Lonchura striata: one gene and its partners. The protein of the gene in region 2 purifies or fractionates together with the protein of the main gene of each other region. This does not show direct contact. Links are inferred from orthologs where the notes say so. Each region holds a gene or a part of one and is shown on either strand. Other genes may lie near its edges.

Region 1 (7,454 bases), on a different chromosome or scaffold from region 2:
GCTGGTGCTTTTCTTATGCAAACTCCATCATTCACTATCTGTAAGAAAATCTTGTGATTCATTTACTGCTCCATTTCCACCACAGTAGATACCTGAGTTCTTAAAACTGTCTGCTATGTCATAATTTCTGCAATATAAAACAAAACCACCATTGTGGTAAATCCATTGCACAACAGGATCCTGGGAAGTATTTATGAATCTCCTGCCATACTGCTTAAATCATGACTTTGTTACAAGCATCAGATGTTTATAATCTTGTTATGATATTGAGGCCTTATACAGCTGGTTTTTTATAATACTTTTGTAGCTAGTTTAAAGCCATCTGGTGCACGTATTGCCAGGTATACCTGATTTTGTTGTTGTTGTGACTACACATGCATTCTCAGCACTCTCATAGTGTTTTCTCAGTGTATGACAGTACAGCTGAAGTTAAATCATGTCATTTTATATTTGTACATGGTGACTACATATGATGCTCCTGATAGCCACATGTGAGGATTTCTGTTTTAGTTTGTCATGTCTTCACATTCAGATCCTGAAAATTATATAAAAATATTGGATTGGTCTCCAAATAAGCCAAATATCGATATGCAGCTTTGGATCTCTTCTAATGTCATAACTTTTACTGTGTTTTTACAAAGCCCAAGCCTTTAAATATAATTAGAATAAATAGGTGTAGGAACATTTGGTTACTTGTAAAAAAGCTTGCATTTGGAGATCATCTTAGTAAAAGACCAATGATATAAGGATAAAAAGGTTAGAGTTGAGGTTTTATCTGTATTTTGCCATTTATTAATTAAAGGCCATAATTTGCTTATAGTTACTTTTTAAATACCATGTTATGATTGGATCACTCTAGTATTTAGAAGCTGCAACAAAAATCAAGGCTGCATTACCTTGAATTCTGAAAAATCACATATAAAAAGGAAGCTTCTGCTTGGCAACTGAAATTAAAGAATCCTCAGGGACCAGGAAGGGAGAGAAGGACCTTTCCTGGCTGACTTAATTATTTTTCTGTGGCAGAGTGACTTGTTCAAGGTCATAGAAGAATTAAACTTCTGTATTGGTGAGCAGGTGGAAAAAAAAACAGAGGCTGTTTAATCTGCACTTTCACATGCAGTGTTTTTTTTACTGATTTCCTAAGGAACAAATTTTGTGACCATGTTTGTGACTTTCCCTCATTTTTTTCCCTCTCCACCCCTGAATTTTGGCCCGACTGATTAATAAAAACAAATCTGAAAGAGGAATGAAAGTCTTAAATAGGTTTGTCTTTCTAAGAATTTTTGAATCTTGTGGAAGCAGATGCCAGGAGAAGGGAAGAAGAAACCATCTGCATGGTCTGTCTACAGTAAAGCTGCAGCTTGAGTTCACATTCACAAAATAGCATTACATATATTCTTAACAATGGGAAAACTTATAGGATGTCGGATCAGCTCTCTTTCTATTTTGCTATAAGATGGAGCACAATCACAGCTGTCCATAGAACATAAACTAGTTTATTAGGCACCAATGTGGAGTGAAATAAGAGGTCTTGGGGAGAAGTCCTGGTGCAGAAGTGAGGATACTCTTCTGCAGCTTCAGGACTTGCACCCTACGAGACAATGGAGACAAACGGAAGGCTGGTTTGCTTAGGGATGGTGTTATTTCTTGGTGCAGATCATAGAGGCAGCATAGATGTAATCAAAGCAGAACTCACACTCTTTAAACAAAAGATGCTCATCACAGGAAAGATGGGCATATGTGTAGATGTGCCAGTTATGGACATGTTTCAGTGATGAAATTAGTGTTAATGATTGGACTCAATCTTAAAGGTCTTTCGCAACCTAAATGATCCTATGATCCTGATTGTGGAACCATTTGCTTAACGATAATGTTGGTCTTGAATACATATGGTAGGGAGGAGAAATTCCTTGGGGAGGGCTTTGGAAAAGTTTCTCTTAAACTGTAAGTCACTGGATTGTTTCTTTTTAGGAAGGAATTGGTACATCTTGAATCTTTGATTTTATGCTAATTTTCCTTCATATGGTCTGTTTCTGTTAAGAACCTAGACTATCTGTAGTGTGTCATGGTAGGCAGCATGTAGATCAGTGCCATGTGTTAAAGCTGGAAAGTTTCTTCAAATTTTTTTTTTTTTGCTTGGTTGGAGGCAGCTTGTATTAAATACTTTACCCCTCCCCTTTTTCCTCAGTTGTATAGGTAGGAATTGCTTTACTAGTTGTGCATCCTGTGGTAGTGTTTAATATTAGCTGGATACTTGGCCATCCATACTTCCTTGAAATCTAATGTTGGTTTTCATCGATGGGGATTTCCTGGGCGCTCACATGCCTTTCTTTTGTATCTTCTCTCCAGATCCACATCTAGGGTAATGACACCAGCGTTATGGTATAAGCTGTGTAGTTTAAATTCTCTAATTATGAAACTATTTAGCCACTGTCGAGACATTTGCTCAATTATCTTGCAGTGAATTTGAACACAAGTGTCAAACATGGTTGATTTTTAAGTTCATGTTATTTATCATTCCTTCTACAAATTCCATCTTGCTATTCCTGACCAAAGAGTTTTTCAGTATAGTGGGCAAACTTTTCAATCTCAACATAAGCAATTTATGTCTATTCTTTTTTTCTTCCTCATTGATGTGAAAGGAATTATGTGTTCTTATAATTAAAAACATCACACATATTCACTACCAGCTGAATTTTGTTAGACTAAGTAAAACTCTCCTCAAATGACAGAATCTTAATTCCTCGGATCTTTCTCATAACCCTGTCCACACTTCTTTTTTTTTTTTTTTTTTTTTTTTTTTTTTTTTTTTAGGAAGATTAATTTAAATTGGTGGGATAGAACTGCACATAATAGTCCTAAATATATCTTCCCAGGGCTTTGTATTACATCACAACTACCCTTCATGCTTCTGGAAATTCCCTATGTAGCCTACGAAAGGTCATGCATCCTATGCCTGCTTCATGATAGCTGCCAAGAAGACTGCTGTGATTGCCTGGTTTTATTTGAAGGGTATTTTGGTGAGATTTCTGCTTCTTTGATAATGGTACTGAAGTTTCCTGTAGCTAATGTTTACTTGACTGGAGGCACTCTTAGTAGGCTATACAGAATGAAAGCTTTGAGGCTCACCTCCGGGTATTAGGGATGGGACTTGTATATTCCAGCTATTTTGGAAGAGGTGGAGTGTGTTGACAGTGTACATAAGGCAAAGAGTGTTTGTCCCTTGCCCCAAATCTTTATCCATTTCAGCACTGTAAAGAGCTTAGTCTTAATGAAGTTGTGGGAAATTTATTTAAATCCATTCTGGAGTGCAGCACCATATACTTTATGACAGGCAGCAGTGCTGACTTCAGCAGCTCCTGTCCTGCCCCTCTGGCCACAGCTCCAACTTTTGAGCAGGCCTGAAATGATTCGGTAGGTTTTATGTTTGTCTGGTTTTGGTTTTGTTTTGTTGATTTTTTTTGAGTCCACATTAATTCCATGTACTGCTTCAGTATTGCCTCAAAATGGTTTGAACCAGCAAAAAGTGAACGAGTGTCTGGGAAAAGATGCAGGACAAGGATGGGATCACGCAAAACTCATATCACCATGTGAGAAGTGTCTGTTGAACCATTCACTTCAGTCATCACCACTGCTAATGGTGTTGCAGAGCCGTATGAAATACACTACATGAGGGATATGTGAGGCTGCTCAAATGAAACCAAGTCCTTCACTGGGAGCGTTTATATTTGTCTTAAGAGGTATAAGCTGAAGCAACAGGCTTATGCTGAAACTCCTAATCTAGAGCAGGTATACTGAGTATGAAAATATTAACGGTTATTTTCTATTCTTACCTCAGTGGTGAAATAAGCAAAAGTGACACTATCCTAAATGAAAAGCATTTACGTCCCATAGATTATGTAGAGCGAGATGAAAACCTCGGTATTGTTTGAGAGTAGCCGGACCTGCGAGTTCAGAGCTGCTGTACCGTAGCCTAGAACACCAAAACGAGAAAAATCCCATTTGCAAGCAGACGAAGCCTACTACAGATCAGGCAATATCTGGACAACAAAATGGCTGTGGCTGTGGCTATAGGCGATCCACAGGAGCGCAGCTGGCAGTAGGGGAGCGGGGGAGCCCCAGCCCCGCGCTCCGGGTGCAGCGGCCGCGCTGGAGCGCGGAGGGGCCGCGCCGCAGCCACCGAGAGCCCGTCCCAGGCACTTACTGCGGGCGCTGCGGGGCGCGCAGCCCCGAGGCGCGCGCGGCCGGCGGCTGCGCCCTCCCGGCGGGGCTCGGCGGGCCCGCGGCGCTCCGCCGGGCGGGCCGGGCCGGTGCCGGAGCGCGGCGCGGCGCGGGTCCGGAGCCCCTCGGGGCGGGCGCGGGCCCGCCGCCGGCGGCGCGGGGCGCAGGCGCGGGGGACGCGGGCATGCGCGCTGTGCGGCGGGGAGCCCGATCTGATAGGGAGCAGGGGCTGACACTACCCCCGTGTGGGCGGCGGAACGTCCCGAGGATGACGTGCGGCGTTCTCGAATCCCGTGTCTCGCTCGCTCGCTCGCCGCCGCCGCCGCCGAAGGAAACGGGAAAAGCAACAAGGAGGCAGGAGCAGGCGCGGCGCCATGGCGGCCCTGGAGCGGCCCGTGCCCAGTCCCGAGGCGTTCCTGGGCCAGCCCTGGGCCGCCTGGGTGCGGGAGGCCGCCCCCCCGCACGCGCACGGCGCCGCCCCCCCGCACAGTAAGGGCAGGGACCGGCCGCGGTCCGGCTCCGCACGCCGCTGCCCCCGGAGCGGGGCCGGGGTCCGGCCGGGCCGCCCCCCCTCCGCTCCCCTCCCTCCTCCCGCCGGGGCCGGGAGGTGCCGCCCCCCCGGGCGCTCAGCTGACGCTCGGCCGAGCCCCCGTGCCATGTGTGCGGGAGGCGCACGCCGCGCCGCGCCTGCCGTGCCGCTGCCCCGCGGCGCTGGGCCGGCGCCGCGGTGGGGGAAGGGGGCGAGGGGGAGGATGCGCGGAGGGGCCGGAGGATGCCGCGGGCGGGGAGGCGGGGGCGAGGGTGCTGCCGCGGGGGGCCCGGCGGTTCCGCTCCCTGGCAGATGCTCCGACCATTGTGCTTTTGCTGTTGCAAATAGAAACACTGCTCACCTCCTCACCTCTCCTCCTCCCCTCGCCAAACAATAAATGCACACCTTAGGGCCCTCGGCGCTTCCTGACTCTGCTTCTCTTCTGCAGGTGTAGATCTGGAAGAGACTGGAAAGGAGGGTGGAAAAAGCAGGGAGGTTATGAGGCTTAATAAAGAAGGTAAGTGGATAGTGCTGGCACACCTCTCTACCTGTCTGTCTCCTGGTGGTTGTGAATGACTGTGGTTTGGCCTTGACAGGGTGGTCTGATAGCATATGTATTTCTCTGCCATAAAGAACGTTTCAGGGTTGGATACATGCAGATGACTGTCACTGTGTCAACTTCTTTTGAAGTAAGGTGATAACAGGTGTATACGTGCAACTGACAGACATGGTAAAAGATAAGACAATTTTGAGGCATAAGACAGCTACACATCAGTGGCCATATTGGATTATTCTGTGGACCCTGTCCCTTGGTGCAACATTCCAGTTGCTCGTGTGAAGATAAGCATATAAACTTTAAACGTTATATTTTTATTGGCAACTTAGTGGAGGTGTTTTCCCTTGCAGTCAGAAAGGGTTTGTTACAATCTTTGAGTCCATTCACTTTAGCTCAAATCACATTTTGTTTTTTTGTTTGCACTGCTGTGTGTCACCTACAGTCACCTGAGCAGCCCGCATCAAATATTATTTTAGGTTGCGCTAAACCCATGCATATTATGCAAAAACAAATAAAATTAGTCATTTGGGCCATAAGTTCTTCTGGTACCGTCAGTGTGAACAGGCAGACTCCAGCTTAGCGGTATTTGCCAATATGCCCGGCCTGTCACAACTCTGTCAGCTGCAAGAGGAGAAACATTTTGTTTGTGATGTGTGTCATTAACATCATGTTGAGGTAACACCTAGTGCAACTAGTGAAATAGTACAGGATGATTTTTCAAGTAGTTTGTGTTTGTTTCTGTTTCGTTAAGAAAGTGCTTTTCATACACAATCTCTCTGTCTTGGGAAGTCGGTTCATAATGAACGATCCCATCATAGTGAAACTTTGGTGCGACTTACTCTGCTGAGAGGAATCCCGCTATTACCTGTAATGTCACAAAATACATTCTGAAATGATGTTAAGTTTCTCATTACATTACAGTTGTCATTACACGTGCGATCGATTTTGAGCATCTTGGCAGCTCAAAGGAATCTTATGTTTTCTAAACAAGATCTTGAAAAAAGAATGAATTAATGAGTAAACTAGAGTTGTGTGATTAACTATAAAATTGCATGGCATATGCATTAAAGTTATTTAAAATACCATAAAACTTCTTTTTGAAAGACCTGTACAGAGAAGCCAAGCTTGATTGTGTTCCTATCTTGATTCTTATATGCCTGAACCTCTGTATTTTGTCAGCCCAAAGATAAGTTAGCAGCAGAACTGGGATTTTCATGTAGTTATTTATAGGTAAAAGGTTCAAGGCTCTGTACATCTATCAGTAATGTTGATTCAGAAATAATTGAGCAAAAATTTTGCTACTTCAGCCGTGCCTTCATAAGGAGCTTAATTTGTTGAGATAAAGCATTTTGTGCTCAGAAGTCCTTGAACACAAATTCCTTTTATAAGCATGGGACATAAAGATTGAAGCATCTCTGCTTCTTAGTTCTACATAATATGCAAATTGTTTCCTAGAAAGATTCAGTTTAAATTCAGTTCTAGTCTTGTTTGGTTTTTGGGGGGTCAGAGACTCCATCAAAGAAGCTCTATTTAAACTCACTATCCAGAAAAACTACTTCCAAACAAAGCATATGTCATTGCTGACATTATGATCATGACAGGTGTGAAGCACTTACTGGCTTTTATAGTACTTATGTCATAATACTGTGTAAAAAAATCCCAAAATTGACTGTTATATTTAGAAAATAAAAAGCCTTAGGGATGTTACTGCTTTCAAGTAGTAACTTGTGTTAGATCACTTAGAACTTCCATGAAGTTTGAATAAATTAGTATGTATCGAAATATTTTTACTATAGTCACTTAGGCAGTCTGTTTTCACCACACCCATCTGTGTGTCTGAACACCCACTGTAAATCTTTCTTAGGCCCCACAGTCCTTATTAGTAAAGGTGAGGGAAAATTTCAAGAGTTAGATTGGTCTGCAGGAAACATTTCTCATGTAATTACAGAAATGCTTGTGCTTTTATTCTGAACTTGCTTGCATGTTGTGTGACACGTTGAATTTTTTTGCCTGCTTTGTTCATAGATGTGGCTAGGATAGGTCTGAAAACAAAACCCTACTCCTTTTTTTTTTACAATCTTACCAACTTGAGTAGACCTTTTTAATGGCATATGTGGTGCCAGGAGATTTTAAGTGGTGTCTTAGAAA
Region 2 (7,630 bases):
TTCAGGAGACAGCTTTCCCACTATAAAGCAGGTTTTAGAGCCATTCTGCTGGAAGCACTGGCTGTAAAGCAAACTGAAGCGCGAGCTGGAGCTCGTAAAAGCTTATTCACAGAAAAGGTGCGTATTAAAACCGAATAGCACAGCACTAAAATGGTCTGCCAAGGCACAACGCAGTGTAGGTACAGCAGGAGAACAGACCCTTTCTGCCCCCTGCAGTTCCCAATGCTCCCTGGATTTTTAAGACAGGCTTAGGAGGGATAGTAGTTACCATTCTAGAACCAGAACCATTTACATCTGGCTCTCACCAACAGCCAAAGCATTTTTATACCTACCTTCATCTGAACAACAGTTAAACTGCCCAGTGCCTTCCATAAAGACCAATTACATATATGGAATGTTTCTGTGATAAACATATAATGTGACTGTCCTTGATCATGTAATAAAAAGAATATCACTTGCTAATAAACCTTTAATTTGGCCTTGTCATTTTGATTATTAGGATTAAGAAGAATCTTCACCAATAAACAGGTGCTCTTAAGCAGTCACAGCTTGCTCCTAGAATATACATATACTTATACATAATATACGTGTATGTAAACTATTAAAGGACAAAGGATTGTTTTCAAGTTATATGGACTATCCTAATTTTATTTCTAGTTATTTCTAGCTAATTTTATTTCTAGTTATTAGACTATAAATCTGCCACCAAACAGAAAACATCCTTTTTCTAATTTTACATGTAAAACTGTCAGGCAAACATCTGTACAGAGAATTTCAGTGAATTAAAATTCCATTGAAGGTCTCATGTTCATATAGAGAAAGGGTGAATAAAGTACCATAACTGTCATTTATAGACTTGTTTTCAGTCCTTACAAACATACACAGGGAATTGGATCCCAATTTAGCTACCCAAAATGTTCCCCCATATTGATCATGTACACCCACATATTTCAGGTGGGCCGGATTCAGAAACTGTTTTCATGCTGGCAACCTGCTTTAAAAAAAAAGCGGGGGGAAAAGCATTTTTAGCATGTATTAGGAAAACTGGTGTTTTCCCTGGGATGACAGATAATTTTGAAACAATCCTGTTCTACTTTATGAGCCTGGCTGTACAAAGAGGAAGTGAGAACAGATTGATTACAATAGAATATTCTGTATTTTCAGCTGTTTTCTCAAGCAATGATGAACACATCCCTACATTAGATTTCAGAAGGAAAAAGCTGTTGCAGCACACAAGAGGTATGCAGGTTACACAGGATGCTCCATGTTTAGAAAAAGGTAATTTTGCTTATGAAATTTTACTTTCATTCTTCCACATAGCATTTGCTTTATATTTGTCTGAGACATCTTCATACCTCACTTGCCATTTTTTTCTTCCACAGCACAGACACGATTTTTTCTCCATTTGAGCTGAAAGCACCATCAACTATATCCCAATTTGTATTTTAACATGCTATAGGCTAAATAAACCCAGATTTTGACTAATATACTCCATAATATTGACCTGTAGGGAATTGTAAGGTATTTAAAACAAGTCTGGCTATACTTTGCAGGGCTATCAAGTAATTAAATCCATTTAACACGTATTTCTTCTCAGATTCCATTTTTTCCTCTTTAGGTAAAAAAATTGGGAAATTGGATCATCCTGAGAACATGAACTGAACACAGAGAAATGGTTTGGCACCTCACCCTTTAAGTCCATCCTTCATGCTCTAGTTCTATTACAAATAATAAGCTGAGCAGCTTAATGCAAAGCACTGGGATCAGGAAGTTTTCAATGGGTTGTTCCAACAAAAACACAATCCGTGCTGTCCCAAACCCCAAGTTTTGCCCCGTGCAGCTGCTGCCTTCCCCTCCTCAGTCACCAATGCGACGACTGACAGAAATCTGCCAAGTCACTTTGAAGTAAAAACTAGTTGATTCTAGGGAAAAACAGTAATTAGTTGCACAGTGCATAGACCAACCCCAGAGAAACATGCATGGGTATAAGGATGTTATTATAGGAGATAGGTAAGGAAAAGCTTTCCTGCTTTTTGCCTGGTTTACAGGGATTTTTTCCCAGGCGCCAACAGCTCCCAGAGCAAACCCCTCCTGCCCTTCCCCGTACTCCAGGCTGAACCAGTTCCCTTCCCCTGCCCCACCAGAGCAGGAATCCCCTTTTCCAAGTGGATTATCAGCACGAACAGCTTTGGTAGTTTTTTTTGGATTTGTTTTTTTTTTTTTTTTTCCTTTTTAAGGAAAACCACACACATAACCGAGCCAGCCGCAGCCCCCGGCGCCGGGACCCGCTCCCAGCCATTGTACTCCGCGCAGCCCCCCGGGCTCGGGCGCGGCCCCGCGGGGCTCCACAAAGCTCCGCCACAGGCCGGACGTGCCCGGTGCCCCGGGCCTCCCCTCCCCCCGGTATTCCGGGAAACCTCCGGGAGGAGGAGGAGGAGGAGGAGGAGGAGGAGGAGGAGGAGGAAGCGGCGGCGCTGCGGAACAGCCCCGCTGCGGAAAAGCCGGCGGGGCAGGTGGCAGGGAGGGAGGCCCCGCCGGGGCTGGCTCCCTCCTCCATCCCGGTGCCCCCCCTCGCCATCCCGGAGGCACCGAGCGCTTCCTCCTCCCTTCCCCCGGGACCGCGTGCAGGAGCTCGGGCCCACCTGCCCCGTGGGGAGGGAAAGAGGGAGGGCTAGAGGGGGACCGGACCCGTCCCCTCCCCGAGGCGGCGGCGGGTGGGTCGGGGAGGGAGGGAAGGAAGGAGGGAAGGGAAGGGGGGTGGATGCGAGCCGCCCCCGGTACCTTGCGCTTCCTGGTCTCGGCCGAGCCGCTCCACACGAAGCACTGGTAAATCGCCCGCAGGTTCTGCTTCCAGTTCTCCACCTTGAAGCCGGTCACATGGCAGCACCCGGCCGCCGGCGGACTCATGTCAGACCCCCCCACATCAATCCGCCCGCACACGGGCCGGGCCGGCGGGCAGCGAGCCGGCCCCTTCCCCCGCCCCGCAGCACCGACACGGGCCGGGGCCCCCCCGCCCTCAGGGGCTCCGGCCCCTCACGCCGCCGCCGCCGGGGAGCCGCTGGCACATAGAGCCGGGGCTCCGCCACGGCCCCCCGGCTCCGAACAAAGCGCGGCGGGCGGGCAGCGCGCACTCCCTCCCGCCCTTCTCCCGCACACACAAAGATGGGGCGCTCTGAGGCGAGGAGAAGGAGGAGGCGGCGGCTGTAGCGGCCGCTGCCGCCCCCGGAGTGGCCGCCGCTCCCTTCTACCTCATAGAGGCCGCTGTGGAAGCGGCGGGCGGAGGGGAAGGGAGGGGATGGGGGCGCTGGCGGCGGCGACCCCGGCCGCGGTGCGAGCGGGCGTGTGTGGGGAAGGGGGCGAGTCCCCGCCCGCCGCCGCTCCGGCTTCCCCCGCCGGCGCCCGCACGGCTCTTGTCCCTTTAAACCGCCCCCCCGCCTCCTTCGCCGGCTCCTTCCTCCTCCGCCTCGCCCGCGCCCCCCCCGCCCGCCGCGAGCAATGGTCCGAGCCGCTCACTCAACCCAGCCCGCCCGGCCCGGAGTGGGATAGACCAACGGGGAAGGTGCGGGAGGAGCGCCCCCTCTGCCCCGCCGCCCGCGAGGGAGGGAGCGGCGGGGGGAAGGAGCGCGGCGATTGGTCCGCATCCCTGTCAATCTATCCATCTCTAGTGTCTCATTGGTTCCTTTCCCTTTCTTCTCTCCCCCTCCACCCTTCCTACCTAGCATTTCCCCCGCCGGAAAGAGGCGGGACATCCCGGACGATTAACAGCTTCTCTGACCAACGGGGAGAAAAGGCGGGGTCTGTGTGGTGGGAGCGGCGCTATGACTGGTCGGCGTAGACGTCAGTCACGCTGCAAGCGGAGATCGGATTGGCTGTGCTCGCGAGGGGGCGGTCCCTCGCGCAGCAGGCTGCGCTGCTGTCACATCCGCTGGTCCCGCTCTCGCTGTTCCCTCAGCGGTCTCCTGAGGGGACCGGGACCGCCGGGCTCCCGGGGGAGGCTCCGCGCCACGCTCCCAGCGCTCCCAGCACCATGTATGGTCCCTCCATACCGCCAGCCTGCATCCTGGTGTTCCACAGGGAAGAAACAAAAGCGCTGTATCACCAAAACTGGTGTTATTTCAGCTTCTTCCTATACAAGGAAATGGGAAGACGGTGTAAAAATGTTGGAATCTCTACATAGTTTTCAGCTTGTATGTCACACACATTATAGGGTTACATAGTGGAGTGAGGCAGGAGGGAAAGGATGGGAATTACGCCGTGGTTTCTGAAGAGAGAGGCCGGAGGCTTTGCTGAGGCTTCTTAGAGAAGCACTGCAAACACTGTGCAACAAGGAAATAAGCGGGGAAATAAACCCACGTTATTTCACCAACCCCACTTTTCAGTGCGTGCTAATGACATTCCTCGGGAGCCGTAACCTTGAAATCTTCACCTTGCAGATTTCCTTATAGCGCCCAGTTTCCTCACCTGCTGCTGCAGCTAGCAATCAATAAATACAAAAATCAGTGACAATCACCTGAGGACTTTCCGTTTCCTCCTGAGGTGCTGCTGTTTTAAAAAAAGAAAGCAAGGTGGTTAGTAGGCAACTTAGTTTATGATTTGTGTGTAGCTAGAAGGTTTGGTGGCAAAGAGCTGGGTTTGTGGCCCAGGCTGGGACAGCAGCAGGACACCTGTAATTGTTCCATCTCCTGGCTCAAACTACTTATTAGCCTCTCCCAGAAATACCTCTTCCACACAGTCTGGGGATTATGCTCCAGTGATAAACCTGGAATTGCCCCACAGGTGGTAAAAAAAAAAAAAAAAAATGCCAAGAGCCGGGAGAGGGCCCGATTATCCCGCTGTGTACACAAATTGCACTGAATGTTTCAGAAGATTATGAGTGGAATGTGGAGGGAGGCTGTACCCTCTCTTTGACCCTGTGTAATCATTAGACCTATTAAGTCATCACAGTGCAGCCTACACTTCCTTGGAAAGGGAACAGGAATTGGTGCTGCACATCCTTCCCGTGTTAACCCAACTTCCAGGAGAATTAATCGGTTTTCAAAAGCAGGAGTCAGAGAGAGCCAGCCCCTCCCCTGAGAAAACCACCCTCAGAAAAGAGGGAGGTTAAGGTGCATAGAAGAGAACAGGATGGGTGATTAGTGTCCTAACAGCATCTAATAATTATTCTCTGAATATTTCCAATTAAACAAAACCTCTGATTTTGCTGCAGTCTAAATACAAGCAGAAAGTTATTCTTATTCTGCACCAACCTACTGTTACTAATCTGGGGCTTTTCTCCATGGCTACCACATCAAAACAGGAGATAAAGATAAAAGAGAGAATTTCTGCCAATGAAATTTAAGTCCATCTCACTGAAAAAACAGGATACCAAAGAGACAATACATATGTTCAATGTCCTGCAGACTCTGAAATTTTCACAGAGATTTCTGTTCCACTCTGTCTTGCAGAGTCCCTGTGTTTACTCCCTTTAGGGTGTCTTATGTAGAAATAACAAGAATTGTGAGTTTAAACACAATTGCTTTAAGAAACACCTACTTTTTTAGTGGTTCTCTCTCAGAGAGAGAACCTTTGGAAAAATACTGATCTTTCTCTCTGGCCGCTTCCAGAACAATTAGCAGTTACCTACTCCTGTCCTGGAGGTTTCTGACCCTGCTGAGGATGTGAGGAGCATCCGTCACAAAGGCCCCACATGGAGGACACCCATCCTGGAGCACACCTGCTGAGACCTACTGTCATTTCCCAAAGGCATCAATGTAGAAATTTAAAGATCACTCTTAGGAGATATTTCCAAAGTATAGACATTACCTTTCAAACTTAAAGCTCCCCCAAGGTTCCCTTGGCACCTTATTCTCCATAAAAGGGGTTTATTTATGCTAGAAATTCAAATTGGGCTTCTTGTGGTAAATTGGAACCAGAGTAAAAATCCACTTTGGAACAGTGTAGAAAACAATGGCTTTGGAGATTTTTTGAGACCAATTCCTGATTTGGGGGGCTTGAGACAAAACTCTACAAATGTCATTAAACCGTTTGCTTTCTGTCCTGTGAAGACAACAGAATCTTTCCTATGAAGTATAAAAACTTCCAGCTCTACAAATATTTCTTGCTTGTTGCAGCCCACACACTGAAGGTGACACAACAGCAGAGCAGCAGCCAAAACAAAATAGGAATGGAAAATAGTGACGACATTTTGTCAGGTAGTAATTGTCAAATCAGGGCCTGCTTTCTGCACACACACACACACACACACACACACACACACTCACACAAGTTTACAAGTTTGCTGTAGTTTAATTTACTCTTGGACATGGCTTGGGAATGTTTCTAGAATAAAGCCTTTTGGTGTAGCAGATAGCTTGGGAAAGGATTTGCCTCTGGGGGAAGGAGAGAGTTTCATTCTCTCCTGTGTCTCTTGGAAGAATTTTTAATTTTAAAGCATTGATGATTATGCTAATTAGTGCTTACCCTCAAATGCCAGTGGAATATAAATGTTGATAGTAGCTAAAACACACTGCAAATGTGCAGCAAAGTCTTCCTCCAGAGAGTCATTTGCATTCCATGATAGCTCAGCTGGGGAGAAGCAGCATTCTTCACATGGAAAAGCAAAGTAACTGCCTCTTCTATCCATGCCATCCCAAGGTGGCACTTCTAGGCTCCTCTGGATAGCCATGAATCAGCTGCTACCTCATCACTCGGGCATGCTTTGCCATGATATGTGTTAAAATGTCCAATTTCATCCTCAGGTAAACAGGAACCTTTCACTTTGATCAGGTGTGTGAGCAGCATCAAGGATTTGGGTAGGACTCCTCCCATAAACCTGGATTACATGTGGAGCTGGCCTAAATTTGGATCTGCAAGAGGCTGAAGCCCCTGGCTCCACAAGTGGATTTGAAGGGAGATGTTCAGCAGCTTTGCTCCTGCAAGCACAAGGCTCTCCATGCTAATAACCAGTACAGAATGTGTGAAGGTTCCTCAGTACCTCTCCTGCATTTTTTCAGGCACTCTAAAAAATACAAGTTTTTCCACATTCTAAAAGGAAAGAATTTACAGAACAACTCTGCTCATCAAAACACAGAAGAATATTTTAAAGACTAAAAAAAACATTTTTATCTCTTAAAAATTACCCTATTTTTAATCTTCAGGAATTTTTTCTTCCCTTGAGCTTAAGCCTTTTCTCATCCAAGCATTGCAACCTTCCATCCAAGTAGTACTGCCATTGCTTAATCCACAGGCTTTAAAGCAGATGAGGTTGAATGTCTGGCTGCAGGGCTAAAAGCTCTGGAGATATCACAGGCAGAATCCATTGTGTGATTCTGCCTGAAGCTTCTTGCTTTTGAATCCCTGTGAAGTTCAGCTGAGTTACCTCAGATACCTGAAGGTTTGTAGGGAAACACTGGTCCCTGTCATTTATCCTGGGGATGGAGTACTGACCTTGCTACAAAACCAAATGGGTTGTAAAGTCCCAGCTATGCCAGCTTCTCTAAAAAGCCGTGTTTTCATCCCAATCCATTGGCAATGGCACCTGGTAGGTACCAGAGCAGAGATTTCCATGTGGCCCAGCCTTAGCATAGGACACAGAGTGGTTTCTTGAATCCACAACATTCCATGATAAAGGATTGGTTCAGCTGAGCAGATC
Region 3 (6,972 bases), on a different chromosome or scaffold from region 2:
CTTTTGTAAGCTTCACTTTGCTGCCAGCATTATGCAAAAAAACCCAAACAAAACAAAGGGTGAAGAAAGTTTCCAGCAAATGAAACTATCTCCTACCTTCAAAGAAAAGCAAGGATTACACTGATATTTATCCAATAGTATGGACTAAAGCAACTACTCTGGGACTACTGGACTTCAGTAAGTTCACATGAAAAAATCTGTTCTAAGAATGTACCAAAAGCAGTGAAATCCAATGTAGAAGTTTCACAATTAAGTATTTTCCATGATCCAAAGCAAAAGTCTGTTTATACCACCATGGATCATGATGACTGTGAAGTTTATGTATTTGCTCTTTTGTGTTTTTAAGCGACATGGTTTCTGTATCTTTGGGGAGGGAAGGAAAAAATAACGGAGTCCTTGAGGCTGTAACGGGCCTCTGCTGTGTTTTTTCAGATCAGCTGAATTTCATGAAGCATCCCTGGATATCCAACCACTTTCTGTCAGAAAGTTTAAAATCCTTTTCTTCAGTACCTTATCTAAGTAACTGGGAAGGCGACTCTTTGAAGGAATCCCTTGTCTTTTTTGGAGGTGGTCTTTAATGATGATAGTTTTTACAGTCACATAACGTGCAGGACTCAAGTTCAGAGAGCTGCAGAGCACCTTTTCCCTGTCTGATAAGAGTTCAAAGCCAGGCAGGTTTTCAATGGCAGCAAATTCACCTTCTTTACCCTCTTCCTTCCCTCTCTTGGAACTAGCTATGTTCTTGTTCTCCTTCCTCTTTTCCCGTTTGTGCCGGGCCGCCTCGTACTCTGCCGACTCCTCCATTTTGGTGATCCCATTTCGCCGATACCGCTGCAGCTCCCGAATCTTCGCTCGAAGTATCCTCTCCTTGTGCATGTTCTCAAAGAAGTCTTCAAACTCCTTACAAGACATGAACTGGTACAAAGGCCTCAGTTTTAGCCTCAACTCCTTCTCTTCTTTTGTGATTTTTCGTTTGGGTGCTTTCTCCTTGTCTTTTTTATCCTTCCCCAGGAAGGCCGGTACCAAATTATAATCTCGCGCAATGTTCTTCCGCCGCTGCCTCTCCTTGAGTTTCCTGACGTACATGTCCACGTGAGCTCTTTTCAGCTCGATTTCCACGTCGTCGTCGTCGTAGTTGACCGAGAGGCCGCTGATGAGCGTCTCGGCGTCCTGGTCGTACTCGATCTCGTAGTCGTCGCGCAGCGGCATGTACCCCAGCTGCTGCTGCTCCGCCACCGAGATGTCCAGCGGCGGCAGCGGCGTCGTCAGGCTGGGCGACAGCGGGCCGCCGCTGGGACACGTGTGGTCCGTCACCCTGTTGGGAATGGTGTCAGGGATGCAGGCCTTCCCCAGGTTGCCGTGGATATACATGCTCACGTAGTGCTCCATCACCTCCTGAGGGCTTCGGGATGCTCCCACGTGAGCAGCCATGTCCTCCTGAACAGAAAAAAAGGAGTGATAAAACGATGCCCATTACATCTCCAGCATAATGAGCACTCAGGAAACAGCATGAGTTTTTCCTTGCTCCTCAAATCCAGCTCCCAGTAGCTAAACTTCTCTAGCAACACCAGCCACATTTCTATCAGATCTGCAATTCCAGCTCTGGATGAGTGTTTACGATGGGTGCAAGTAAGCCACAAACCAGCACCACATGGTGATTCCTGAGCACCCACGGCACTCCCACAAAGCCAGCTCACCATAACCAGAAGCTTTCCAAGTCCCAACACCAACAGCACTGTATGGCTTGGGTTTTTGCTTGTTTATATCACATTACTGAGGAGCAACATGGAAATAAACAGTCTTTTCTGTACGAGTAACCATTTTTATTCCTTTCTAGTTACTTAAGAACTAAGCAAGCTGCAATGATTATACACTTTAAGGTTTTGAAAATGTATTTATACTTAATGAAGCAAAACATAAGTAACAACAAATCAAATCAATCAAAAATGAATCAAATGGTCCAGCAGAGGGCAATGAGGATGACTGGGAGACTGGAGCATCTCTCTTACGAGGACAGGCTGAGGGACTTGGGCTTGTTCAGCCTCAAGAAGGGACAACTGAGAGGGGACATCACCGATGTCTATCAGTATCTCAAGGGAGGTGTCAAACGGACCAGGCTCTGCTCTGTGGTGCCAAGCAATAGCACGAAAGGTAACAAGCAAAAACTGATGCACAGAAGTCCCACATGTACATGAGGAAGGACTTCTTCACTGTGCAGGTGACCGAGCACTGGGACAGACAGCCCAGAGAGGCTGTGGAGTCTCCCTCACTGTTAACAGTCAAGAACCGTCCGGATGCAGCTGTGTGCAGTGTGCTCCGGGATGACCACGGGAGTCCTTTCCAGCCTGGCCCGTTCTGTGACTGAGATGAAGCTTTCTCACCGCTGCTTTTTAACCCCAAGCCTGGCCGTGCAGTGGCACTGAAGGCAGCAGCCAGCCCGCAGCTGGGACACCCTGACGGCAGAGGCCGAGCCCGGCTAAGCGGCAGTGCAAGACCCGTGACACGGCCGCGGCAAAGGCAGAGCTTCGAGCAGCGGCAGGTCCGAGCTGCGGGGCGCTCCTCGCACCGCGCGGGCAGAGCGCGGCAGCCCCGGCCCCGCAGCGCAGGACGCGCCCGGGGCTGCTGTCAGGGCCGCCGCCCCAGGAGGAGGATCGCCCCCGCCCCTCGGCCCTTACCCAGTTGCCGAAGCCGAACTGCTCGATGGCGTCCAGCAGCAGCTGCTCCTCGCGGCTGCTCCAGCCGCCCTCGGCCTCGGCGCCCCAGAGGGTGAAGCGGCCGCCGTCCACCAGCTGGTAGCCGTGCCATCGGCGGTGCGGGCCGATCTCGGCGCCCGCCGAGAAGCACTCGGGGCAGAGCTCGATGTCGGCGCACTCGGTGCAGCGGAAGCGCAGCGGGCTCACTTCAGCCAGGCAGTACACGCAGTACTTCTTCCCCAGTTCCGCCATCTTACCCCGCCCGCGCGCGCGCGCGGCCGCGCCCCCGCCGCCCGCGCCGCCAATGGCAGCGCGCTCCGGGGGCGGGGCCGCGGCCGGCACCGACCAATGGGGCCGGGGCTGGCGGGCGCGGGGGCTGTCACCGCGAGGGAACGGCTCCGATTGGCCGAGGCGGACTCGTCTACCCTTGCCGCGGCCAATGGGAGCGGCCGCCCCGAGAGGAGCGGCCGCGCAGGGGCCGCCCGCCAGGGGGCGGGGCCGCGCGCGACCGGGGGCGGGGCCGCGCTCGAGAAGGGGGCGGGGCCGCGCGGGTGCCCGGCAACGGGGGAAGCGGGGCCGGGCCGGGCCCCGCCGGAGCCGGGCCAGCCCCAATGGAGCCGCCGGAGCCGGGACAGCCCCAATGGAACCGCCGGAGCCGGGACAGCCCCAATGGAACCGCCGGAGCCGGGACAGCCCCAATGGAGCCGCCGGAGCCGGGACAGCCCCAATGGAGCCGCCGGAGCCGGGACAGCCCCAATGGAGCCGCCGGAGCCGGGCCGGCCCCAATGGAACCGCCGGAGCCCGTCAGTGCCGCACAGCCCCAATGGAAGCACCCTGCCCCGTCAGGCCAGCATTAAAGACATAAAGCGATTCTGCTTTTAGGTGTCTCGGCTCACGTAGAAAACATCAGGCTGAGGCGTGAAACCCCAGCTGTTGGAACCAGCGTGACTGCTCGGAGAGAGCAGCTCAACGCTCTGTGAGCGTAAGCACGTGAAGAGCTCGACCATCCGTGATGAAATTCTCAAGCTCAAGAAGAACGTATGAAACCGACCGACATTCTCAGCCACTTCATGGCAAAGCTGGAGTTACTGGAAGCTGAAAGCCTGAACGGATGAGTGGGAAACGTGTCAGAGGAGAGCGATATCCTGACCAAAATAAAGGCAGCCAGAGAAACAACCTGAAAGGCCGAGGAGAAACCTGAAACTGCAGCAGAAACGTGGGGTGCTTGGAACTGAGACACCACTTCAGGACTTCGAGGAAAAATACTGCAGAGCTGCTGAGTCAGCAGCTGGAAATGCAGAAATGTCATTATGCTGTGCTGCTTTGGGGCAGTTCAGATAAAAAGCCAGAAAGCCAGAAGACTGCTAAAGCCACCTGTGAAGAAAAAGACTAGTACTGGAATTTTCAATATCTAAATTACACTGACAACAGTTGATTAAGATAACTTTACATGACTTTATTTAACAAAACCATATATTTACAGTTGAAAAAAGTTCCAGTCTGATACACATATCTAAACAAAACAAACGTGGTAATTACATAACCCAATTTAAACGTGATGTACAGGAGATGTACCAACACTTCTCTATATATCATTCTTGTTTTAAAACATTCAAAAATAAGCTGTTACAAGGTACCTTTTTTTCCCAAATGAAATTGTTTACTAAATGATGAAATAACATTACTGATTGACTGCAGATCAAAGTTGCAAAACTGCTTTATTATAAAGTGCAGATCGTAAAGAATCCCAAAGCTGGTTGGAGTTTTCTGGTTTCTCTGATCTGCTGCACATACAGTGGTACTTTCCATGTATTGCAGCGGTTTAATTTTTCTTTAAACCCACGAAGAAAGTTTGCTTGATGGGGACATTTGCTCCATGAAAGAAAATCTCATGCATCTTGTTACAGATACTTTCAAGTACCTGAACAATTAAATTGTCTTTTTTTTAAATGCAATTCCCTGAATTTCTTAAAGAAAATTTCTGTATTAGCTAATTAAGAGATTTGGTATACTGCAAGAAAAGTGAAAAGCTCAGTGGCAAGAAATTCTATGCCATTACTAGTCAGCTCTGTATTTATCAAAATTCAAGCATTACCTTCAAATCAAGTTATTGAGAAGTTGAAATAATTGCATGTTTAGGCAGGTGATTTGTTTCACATGTATTTTGTTTGAAAATAAACTGTGCAAAGCTCCTTATTGCATTGCTGTTTCTTCATTAAAGAACATACCTTATATACACAAAGAAATCATTTAGAAAATATATACAACTTCTAAGAACAGATCAAATCACAAAACAAAGTAATTACATTTGCAAGTAACAAACAGTGCACAAGTGTTGCAGCAGGCCTTTTCCCCACAACTATGCCCACTGTCACTGTTACATTCAACATCTTATTGAAAAGAGAAAAAACAGGCTGTTAATGGCTGCCAAGATACCTAGTAGCTAAAAAATGCTTTTTTAACCAGACAAATGAGCCACACTTGTAGACTTGCTTTAAAAGAAAATACAAATGTAGTTGCAATGAAGACTTAAATCACAAAGCCAGTTACAGTACCACCTAAACATGTATATTGAGAAAAAGTGATCTCTATGTTCCATAAACCGTTTAAAAGCATAGTGCAAATGTTTTGGATGGTAGGCCTCTCGTATTCCTCATGGAAAGGCATATTTGTTGTAGTAATAGAAAAAGTAATATTAAAAAACACTTACTGACCTTCCTGCTTTCTATTGCACTTCAAAGCAATTGAGCATACAAGTACCAGTCATTGGAGGACAAATTCTGTACAAATTCTGAGTGAAATAACATGTTTCCTATCATATCTTAATATCTGTTTTCAGTAAGTGATGACTGAGGTGATGTCTTGTGGTGGAATTAAGATGACCAACAAAAAACCACATCCATTACACCAGCTGCACAAAGAGGACAGGAGAAGAGGTCAATGAGGTATCGGACTTGCAGGCTGCATTTGCATTACACATCTTTCAAAGCGATGATGAGTCCTCACTTACCAGGAAATCTTGTTCTCACTCTTCTTAATATTACAATCAAATTATCCCTCATGGAAATAATGTCTGTACCAAAGGACAATGTTTTGATTGTCCCACAGTCCTTTACACTGTATGTTGAGTTGAGCAGTGTGCAACTATTCTTCTTGTTTTTATTCAGACAATGCCAAACTAATCTGCATAAAGCAGCTGAAGAGCACTGGGAAACTGCTGACCATACAGCTGGAGGATTTAGTAACGCCTGTTCACAGTTAACACGAATATTGCTTCAGTTACCTTTCCCTTTTCAATGATCATCGTTAGTATAAAACAGGTTTTACACTATACACTATGCAATAAACATTCTTGTGAATCAGAGGCACTCATGATTTGCCCTTCAACATTCACCTGAATGAAAAGAGGATCTAAGATGTATGAGGGATTTATGTAACATCCATTTGCTGCCACTGTAACTTGCTCTCATGTATTAGAGATCAGATAAAATGCTCAAAAATGACAGCTTGTACTTTTCCTGATGGTGGCTGGCACATTTCCCAATAAACTTCTTTCACTTGTCACACTAGGAATCTGCTCCACATAACTTTCTCACTCTGGCAGAAGCAGCAGCTTCAGGAGATTCCACAAACTCTCTTCTTTTCACCAGCAACGCTGGCGAACATTAATTGCTCCCCTACCACCCTTCCTCCCGAGTTCTGCCAGTGAGTAAAGCTGGGTTTAAAGTCACTACCAAAATTGCTTTTAACCACTTCCCAGTTTATCTGCTAAGTCCAGTTTTATTTCCATGACTGGACACGTGGCACACAGGAAGTAGATGGTGGGCAAGAACATCGTGAAGCAGCAGTGCCCCAGGAGAGGGACACATGTAACATGTATTTGGTAGTATGTGACCTAGGCTTTGAACAGACGAAAAAGTACAAATTGGGAAATTATGCCACCTTAACACCAGAACCCTCTTGGCAAGTTTGGAATCTAGTCTGATGCATGGAATTTTCTCCATATGTATCCAGTTTAGAATATCAATTTCCAAGGCATCTCAAAGAATAATTAGTTTCGCACTGCTAGTTTGTCTTCTCTTCCAAGCTTACTTTCTACTTAACTTTTTCTTAAAAGAAAGGAATGTAGTTCTATGTCTACATGATTTCTTTGGTAAATGGGACCCACAGCCTATAAAATCAGAAGCCTTTCTAAAGAAATGGTCCTTATATTATTTAGAATTCCAGCACCAGTTATCTAAAATCCAGATCCAGCTACTGTTACAGATATTGGAAATAT
Region 4 (7,153 bases), on a different chromosome or scaffold from region 2:
CCGCCCTGCAGGCACGGGGGGGTCAGGGGGTCACCAACCCCTGGGATTCCCCAAAATCCCCACCAAGACCCCCTCAAATCCAGCCAGGACTCCCAGATCCCCCCGGGACCCCCCAAAAATCCCCCTGGGACCCCCAAACCCCCCTCACCTTTGCGCAGGTCGATCACGGCCACATCCCCCCGGGCGCTGCCCACGACCACCGAGCTGGGGAGGGGGGAAATGGGGCTGGGGGGGCAGCAGGACCCCCCCAGGCACCCCAAATTCATCCCCAGCACCCTGAATTCACCTTGGGCACCCAAATCCCCCTCCCTAGGTCACTTAGTGGATATCTAAATCCCTCCCAAAGCCTCCCAAAGCCACCCTAAATCCTCTTAGGACCCTCAAAAATTCCCTCAGGACGCCCCACGAACCCCCCCAAAATTCCCCCACTATTCCCAGGACCCCCCAAAATCCCCCCAAAACCCCCCCAGGCCCCCCGGCACTGACGTGTCCCCGGCGGGCAGCGCCAGCGCCGTCAGCGGCGCCTCCCCGAAGGTGGCATCGAGCACCGGGCGGCGCCGGGGCGAGGAGGGGTCGTAGAGACGCACCTGGCACAGGTGAGGGGGGCAGCGGGTGAGGCCAGGTGTCCTCACCTGGCCGTGCCCCCCCAAATAACCCCAGGTGACCCCAGGTGTCCTCACCTGGCCGTGCCCCCCCAGATGACCCCAGGTGTTCTCACCTGGCCGTGCCCCCCCAGGTGTTCTCACCTGGCCGTGCCCCCCCAGATGACCCCAGGTGCCCCCAGGTGTCCTCACCTGGCCATGCCCCCCCAGGTGACCCCAGGTGTCCTCACCTGGCCGTGCCCCCCCAGATGACCCCAGGTGTTCTCACCTGGCCGTGCCCCCCCAGGTGTTCTCACCTGGCCGTGCCCCCCCAGATGACCCCAGGTGCCCCCAGGTGTCCTCACCTGGCCATGCCCCCCCAGGTGCCCCCAGGTGTCCTCACCTGGCCGTGCCCGGTGCAGGTGACGATCCGCTGGGACCCGGGCAGGAACTGCAGGTCCCGGTCCCAGACGGGGACGCGCAAATCCAGCCAATCGTTCCTCACCTGGTGTGGGGACAATTCCAGAACTTTGGGGACAATTCCGGAATTTTGGGGACATTTAGGGACAGTTTGAGGATGTTTGGGGACAATTTGGGACCTTTGAGGACAATTTGGGGGCAATTTCGGACCTTTAGGGACAATCTGGGACAATATGAGGACAATCTTGGACATTTGGGGGTAATCTGGGAAATCTGGGGAAAACTTGGAACAATTTGGGACATTTGGGGGCAATTCGGGGTGGTTCCAAGGTGGTTCTGGAGTTGGTTTTGGGGTTGTTTTTGAGGTTATTTTTGGAGCGGTTCTGGGGTGTTTCTGGGGTTTTGGGGGGGTTTTTTGGGATTGTTTTTGGGTTGTTTTGGGGGCGTTTTTGGGGTGGTTCTGGGGTATTTTGGGGGTTGTTTTTGGGGTTATTTTTGTAGTGTTTCTGGGGTGTTTTTTGGGTTGTTTTCAGGGTGGCCCTGGTGCGTTTTTGGGGTTGTTTTTGGGGTGTTTTTGGGGTGTTCTTGGGGCGGTTCTGGGATTGGTTTTGGGGTATTTTGGGGTTGTTTTTGGGGTTATTTTTGTAGTGGTTTTGGGGTATTTTTTGGGTTGCTTTCAATGTGGCCCTGGTGCGTTTTTGGGGTTGTTTTTGGGGTGTTCTTGGGGCGGTTCTGGGATTGTTTCTGGGGTATTTTGGGGGTATTTTGGGGTTGTTTTTGGGGCTGACTCACGTTCTTGGCACGGAACAGGGGCTCCTGGGGCCGCTGCAGGTCCCACACCTTGAGCCCGTTCTCCTTCCCCCCCGTGGCCACCACGTGCGGCCGCGCCGGGTCCTGGCGCATCCGGCACAGCCCCGGCCCCGCCTGCAGCTCCTGCAGGGGCTGGGGGGCACCGGGGTCACCCCAAAATCCCCACGCCCCAAAACCACCCCAAACCCCGCTCAAATCCCCGCAAAAACCCCAAAAAACCACCCCAAACTGCCCCAAAAACCCCAATTCCGGCACAGCCCCGGCCCCGCCTGCAGCTCCTGCAGGGGCTGGGGGGCACCAGGGTCACCCCAAAATCCCCCAGGGACCCCCAAAATACCCACACCCCAAACCCTGCTCAAATCCCCACAAAAACCCCAAAAAAACCACCCCAAACCCTCCTAAAAACCCAAAAATGCCCAACAAAAACACCCCAAACTTTCCTAAAATCCCAAAAAAACACCTGAAACCCTCTTAAAAAACCCTAAAACCCCACCCCAAATTGCCCCAAAATCCCCAATTCTGGCACAGCTCCACCTGCAGCTCCCACAGGGGCTGGGAACGGGGAGGGGTCACCCCAAAACCCTCCAGGAACCCCCAAACCCTCCTAAAACCACCCCAAAACCCCCCAAAACACCCATTTTTGGCACATCCGACCCCACCCCCAGGTCCCAAAAGGGGCTGGGATTGAGGAGGGGTCTTGGGGTGACCCCAAAATCCCCCCCAGACCCCCTCACTCACCTCCTCAGTCTCCTGCTCCCCCCAGACCCGGACCAGCCCCGACTCCACTGCGGTGACCACGGAGCTGGGGGGATTTTGGGGGGCTCAGGGGGTCTTGGGGACCCCCCCCTAGCACCTCTGGCCCATCCCCCACCCCCCAAAAACCCTTCAGGGAATCCCTGGACACCCCAAAACCCCTCTGGAACCCCCCCAGAACCCCTGAACCCTCCCCAAGATGCCCCAAAGACCCTTCAGGGATCCCCTGGGTGCCCCCAGACCCCCCCTCAAAGCCCCCAGAACCCCCCCCAGACTCCCCCAAATCTCTCCCAACCCCCCCCAAACCCCCGGTACCTGCTGAGCACCCCCAGACCCCCCCAAACCCCCCAGGATCCCCCCCAAACCCCCCAGACCCCCCAAACCCCCCCAGGATCCCCCCCAAACCCCCCCAGGATCCCCCCAAACCCCCCAGGATCCCCCCCAGGATCCCCCCAAACACCCCAGGATCCCCCCCAAACCCCCCAGACCCCCCAAACCCCCCACAGGATCTCCCCCAAACCCCCCAGGATCCCCCCCAAACCCCCCAGACCCCCCCAAACCCCCCGTACCTGCCGAGCACCCCGAGGCCGCAGAAGGCGCCGCCCCCCCCCGGGCAGAGCCGCCCCCCGGTGAATTTTCCCTTCTCGGTGCTGAAAACGCTGACGGAGCGATCCAGGGCCCCCACCAGCACCTGGGGGGGTTCGGGGGGTTCAGGACACCCCCAGACCCCCCCCCAGACCCCCCCCCTCCCCCCGGGACCCCCGACTCACCTCGCTCTGGGCCGGGTCCCCCCAGGCCAGCGCTGAGACCCCCCGGGCCCGGCTCAGCCCCTCCCCCCCGCGTGGTTCCAGGCCTCTCTGCGCTGCAGGTTCACCCCTGGGGGGGCACGGGGGGCTTGGAGACCCCCGCGGGACCCCCCAAAACCGCCAGGAGCCCCCCCCCGGGACCCCCCAAAACCACCAGAAACCCCCGGAACATCAGGAACCGCCCCGGGATCGCCCCAAACAACCAGGACCGCCCCCCCCCAAGACTTCCAGAGTCACCCCGAAAGTCCCAAGACCCCCCCCGGGACCCCCAAAGTCCCCCCACAACCCCCGCGACTCCCCCAAACCCGCGTTCCCCTCCCCCAAACTGCCAGGACCCCCCCCCCAGACCCTCAGGATCGTCCCGGGACCCCCCCCCGCGGCCCCCAAAACCCTCCCGACCCCACCCTAAACCCCCGGGACCCCCAAAATCCCCTCCAAACCCCCCCGTGTCCCCCCCCCCCCAAACCCCCGGGACCTTCCCGGCCAGCCCCGGGACCCCCGAAGGTCCCTCCCGGTTCCCCGAGATCCCCCCTGAGGGCTCCCCCTGATCCCCCCGAGCCCCCCAGGACCCCCCCCGGGCCCCCCCCACCTTTCAGGGCTCCGGTCTCGGCCCCCACCCAGACGTGGCACAACCGCGTGGGCGCCGCCATCTTGGCAGCCCCCCCCCCCGGCCCTTCCGGCGCGGGAACCGCGAGCGCGGCGGGACCGTTCCGGGCACAAAAGTTCCGGGGGTTGAGGGGTGCTGCTCCCGGCACGCCCCGCGCGGTTCTCATTTGCATAACCACGCCCATTCCGCGACGTTCCCGGCGCGCTTCAGGCGGGCTGATTTGCATGCCCCGCCCCCGTGGGCGTGGCCGGCCCCGCCATGGCGGAGCGGGAGGAGCGGCGCTTCGTGGAGCTGCCCCGGGACTCGGTGCGGCTCATGGCCGAGAGCGCCGGCCTCGAGCTCAGCGACGAGGTGGCGGCGCTGCTGGCCGAGGACGTGTGCTACCGGCTGCGGGAGGCCACGCAGGTACCGGGGGTACCGGGAGTACCGGGGCTACCGGCTGCGGGAGGCCACGCAGGTACCGGGAGTACCGGGGGTACCGGGGGTACCGGCTGCGGGAGGCCACGCAGGTACCGGGGGTACCGGGAGTACCGGGGCTACCGGCTGCGGGAGGCCACGCAGGTACCGGGAGTACCGGGAGTACCGGGGGTACCGGCTGCGGGAGGCCACGCAGGTACCGGGAGTACCGGGGGTACCGGCTGCGGGAGGCCACGCAGGTACCGGGAGTACCGGGGCTACCGGCTGCGGGAGGCCACGCAGGTACCGGGAGTACCGGGAGTACCGGGGCTACCGGCTGCGGGAGGCCACGCAGGTACCGGGGGTACCGGGGCTACCGGCTGCGGGAGGCCACGCAGGTACCGGGAGTACCGGGGGTACCGGGGCTACCGGCTGCGGGAGGCCACGCAGGTACCGGGAGTACCGGGAGTACCGGGGTTACCGGGGAGACTCGCGGGCAATCCCGGCCCCGCTGCCGCTGATGCTCCCGGTCCCGCCCAGCGGTTCCGGTGCCATCCCGGGAGCGGTTCCCCATGCCGGTCTCGCTCTTGGTGACGGTTCCGTTCCCGTTTCCTTTTCCTCGTTCCCGTTGTCCCGTCCCCGCTCCCAGAACAGCTCGCAGTTCCTCAAGCACACGCGGCGGCGCCGCCTCACCGTGGAGGATTTCAACCGAGCCCTGCGCTGGAGCAACGTCGAGGTGAGGACTGGGGACACTGGGGACACTGGGGGGGACTGGGGACACTGGGGACTTTGGGGACACTGGGGACTTTGGGGACACTGGGGACACTGGGGACACTGGGGGGGACTGGGGACACTGGGGATATTTGGGACACTGGGGGGACACTGGTGGCACTGGGAGCATCGGGGCTGTGCCAAATCCCTGCAGTGTCCTCAAATTCTCAGGAGTGCTCCCACTGTCCCCAATGTCCCCTCACTGTCCCCAATGTCCCCTCACTGTCCCCAATGTCCCCTGTCCCCAGGCCGTGTGTGGCTGTGGCTCCCAGGACTCTGTCCCCAATGTCCCCAATGTCCCCTCATTGTCCCCAATGTCCCCTCACTGTCCCCAGGCTGTGTGTGGCTGTGGCTCCCAGGCCTGTCCCCAATGTCCCCTCACTGTCCCCAATGTCCCCAATGTCCCCTCACTGTCCCCAATGTCCCCTCACTGTCCCCAATGTCCCCTCACTGTCCCCAATGTCCCAATGTCCCCTCACTGTCCCCAGGCCGTGTGTGGCTGTGGCTCCCAGGACTCGCTGCCGTTCCGGCCGCTCCGTGAGGGGGATTTGTTCTTCCCCGAGGACCGCGAGGTGAATCTGCTGGAGCTGGCGCTGGCCACCAACATCCCCAAGGGCTGCGCTGAGACCGCTGTCCGAGGTGGCACCCCAAATCCCCCGGGACCCCAAAATATCCTCTGGGACCCCCAAAATCATCCTGGGACCCCGAAATCATCCCAGGACCCAAAATCATCCTGGGAACCCCAGAATCATCCTGGCACCCCAGATTCTCCTGGGACCCCAAATCCTCTTGGCACCCCAAATCCTCCTGGGAACCCAAAATATCCTGGGGCTCCAAATCATCCTGGGACCCCAAAATGTTCTCTGGACCCCCGAATCTCCCCCTGGGATCCCCGAATTTCCCCCTGGGACCTGCCCAGCCCTCCCCGGTGGGGCGGGGGTCTCACCCCTCTCTCCTACAGTGCACGTCTCCTACCTGGATGGCAAAGGGAACCTGGAGCCGCAGGGAACAGGTCAGGAACGACCCCCTGAGATCCCCAAGACCCCTCCCCAGACCCCCTAAGCCCCCCAGTGGGGTTTATTTTTTGGGGTACCCCCCCGCAGTGCCCAGCGCCGTCTCCTCGCTCAGCGATGACCTCCTCAAGTACTACCAGCACGTCACCCGCGCCGTGCTGGGCGACGACCCCCAGCTCATGAAGGTGGGTGGGGGGGCTGGGGACCCCCTGGGGGGGCGGCTGCCCCTCCCCCCAAGCCGGCCTGACCCCCCCACCCCCCGTGTCCCCCCTCCCCCCTCAGGTGGCTCTGCAGGACCTCCAGAGCAACCCCAAAATCGCCGCGCTGCTGCCCTACTTCGTCTACGTGGTCAGCGGGGTCAGTCTGGGGGGTCCTGGGGGGGTTTGGGGTGAGTTTGGGGGGTCCTGGGGGGGATCGGGTGAGTTTGGGGGGTCCTGGGGGTGTTTGGGGTGAGTTTGGGGGGGGTCCCTGAGGGTTCCCAAGGGATTTGGGGGGTCCCAAGGTGGTCTGGGGTGAGTTTGGTGGTCCTGGGGGTCTCCAGAGGCTGCTGAAAGTTGCTGAGCTGAGCTGAACTAAGCCAGGCTATCCCTGGAGCCCCTCCCCAAACTCTCCCTGCCACCTTCCCCCACCTGCTCCAGGTGAAATCCGTGAGCCACGACCTGGAGCAGCTGAGCCGGCTGCTGCAGCTGGCGCGGAGCCTCCTGCAGAACCCGTTCCTGAGCCTGGGCTCCTACGTGGGCAGCCTGGTGGCCTCGGTGCTCTACTGCGTGCTGGAGCCGCTGGCCGCCTCCATCAACCCCCTCAACGACCACTGGACGCTGCGCGACTACGCCGCCATGCTGCTGGGCCGCATCTTCTGGTGGGCGGGGGGCTCCCGGGGGGGGTTTGGGGGTGTCCCGGGGGTGCCCCGGGGGCTCAGTGCCCGCCTGTGCCCGCAGGAGCCACGGGGAGCTGGTGCGGGGGCTCTACCAGCAGATCCTGCTCTCGCTGCAGAAG

Evidence for each region.
Region 1: the proteins of USP22 (region 2) and ATXN7L1 purify together in Homo sapiens (affinity purification with mass spectrometry; 3 studies listed by BioGRID and IntAct, with this or other methods). This does not show direct contact. The link is inferred for Lonchura striata from reciprocal best matches to the Homo sapiens genes USP22 and ATXN7L1.
Region 3: the proteins of USP22 (region 2) and TADA2B purify together in Homo sapiens (affinity purification with mass spectrometry; 4 studies listed by BioGRID and IntAct, with this or other methods). This does not show direct contact. The link is inferred for Lonchura striata from reciprocal best matches to the Homo sapiens genes USP22 and TADA2B.
Region 4: the proteins of USP22 (region 2) and TAF6L purify together in Homo sapiens (affinity purification with mass spectrometry; 3 studies listed by BioGRID and IntAct, with this or other methods). This does not show direct contact. The link is inferred for Lonchura striata from reciprocal best matches to the Homo sapiens genes USP22 and TAF6L.

Annotation. Positions count from the first base shown.
Region 1 is NC_134607.1:59,798,738-59,806,191, forward strand, and holds the start of ATXN7L1 (ataxin-7-like protein 1), read left to right. Parts: upstream 1-4,436; 5' UTR 4,437-4,595; coding exon 4,596-4,710; intron 4,711-5,198; coding exon 5,199-5,267; intron 5,268-7,454.
Region 2 is NC_134618.1:15,148,586-15,156,215, reverse strand, and holds the start of USP22 (ubiquitin carboxyl-terminal hydrolase 22), read right to left. Parts: upstream 3,001-7,630; 5' UTR 2,908-3,000; coding exon 2,782-2,907; intron 1-2,781. UniProt on the Homo sapiens protein: Deubiquitinase that plays a role in several cellular processes including transcriptional regulation, cell cycle progression or innate immunity.
Region 3 is NC_134606.1:11,778,391-11,785,362, forward strand, and holds the start of TADA2B (transcriptional adapter 2-beta), read right to left. Parts: upstream 3,001-6,972; 5' UTR 2,946-3,000; coding exon 2,676-2,945; intron 1,438-2,675; coding exon 445-1,437; 3' UTR 1-444. UniProt on the Homo sapiens protein: Coactivates PAX5-dependent transcription together with either SMARCA4 or GCN5L2.
Region 4 is NC_134638.1:392,957-400,109, forward strand, and holds the start of TAF6L (TAF6-like RNA polymerase II p300/CBP-associated factor-associated factor 65 kDa subunit 6L), read left to right. Parts: upstream 1-4,136; 5' UTR 4,137-4,235; coding exon 4,236-4,382; intron 4,383-5,022; coding exon 5,023-5,109; intron 5,110-5,632; coding exon 5,633-5,783; intron 5,784-6,105; coding exon 6,106-6,156; intron 6,157-6,247; coding exon 6,248-6,342; intron 6,343-6,439; coding exon 6,440-6,514; intron 6,515-6,795; coding exon 6,796-7,016; intron 7,017-7,095; coding exon 7,096-7,153. UniProt on the Homo sapiens protein: Functions as a component of the PCAF complex. The PCAF complex is capable of efficiently acetylating histones in a nucleosomal context. The PCAF complex could be considered as the human version of the yeast SAGA complex.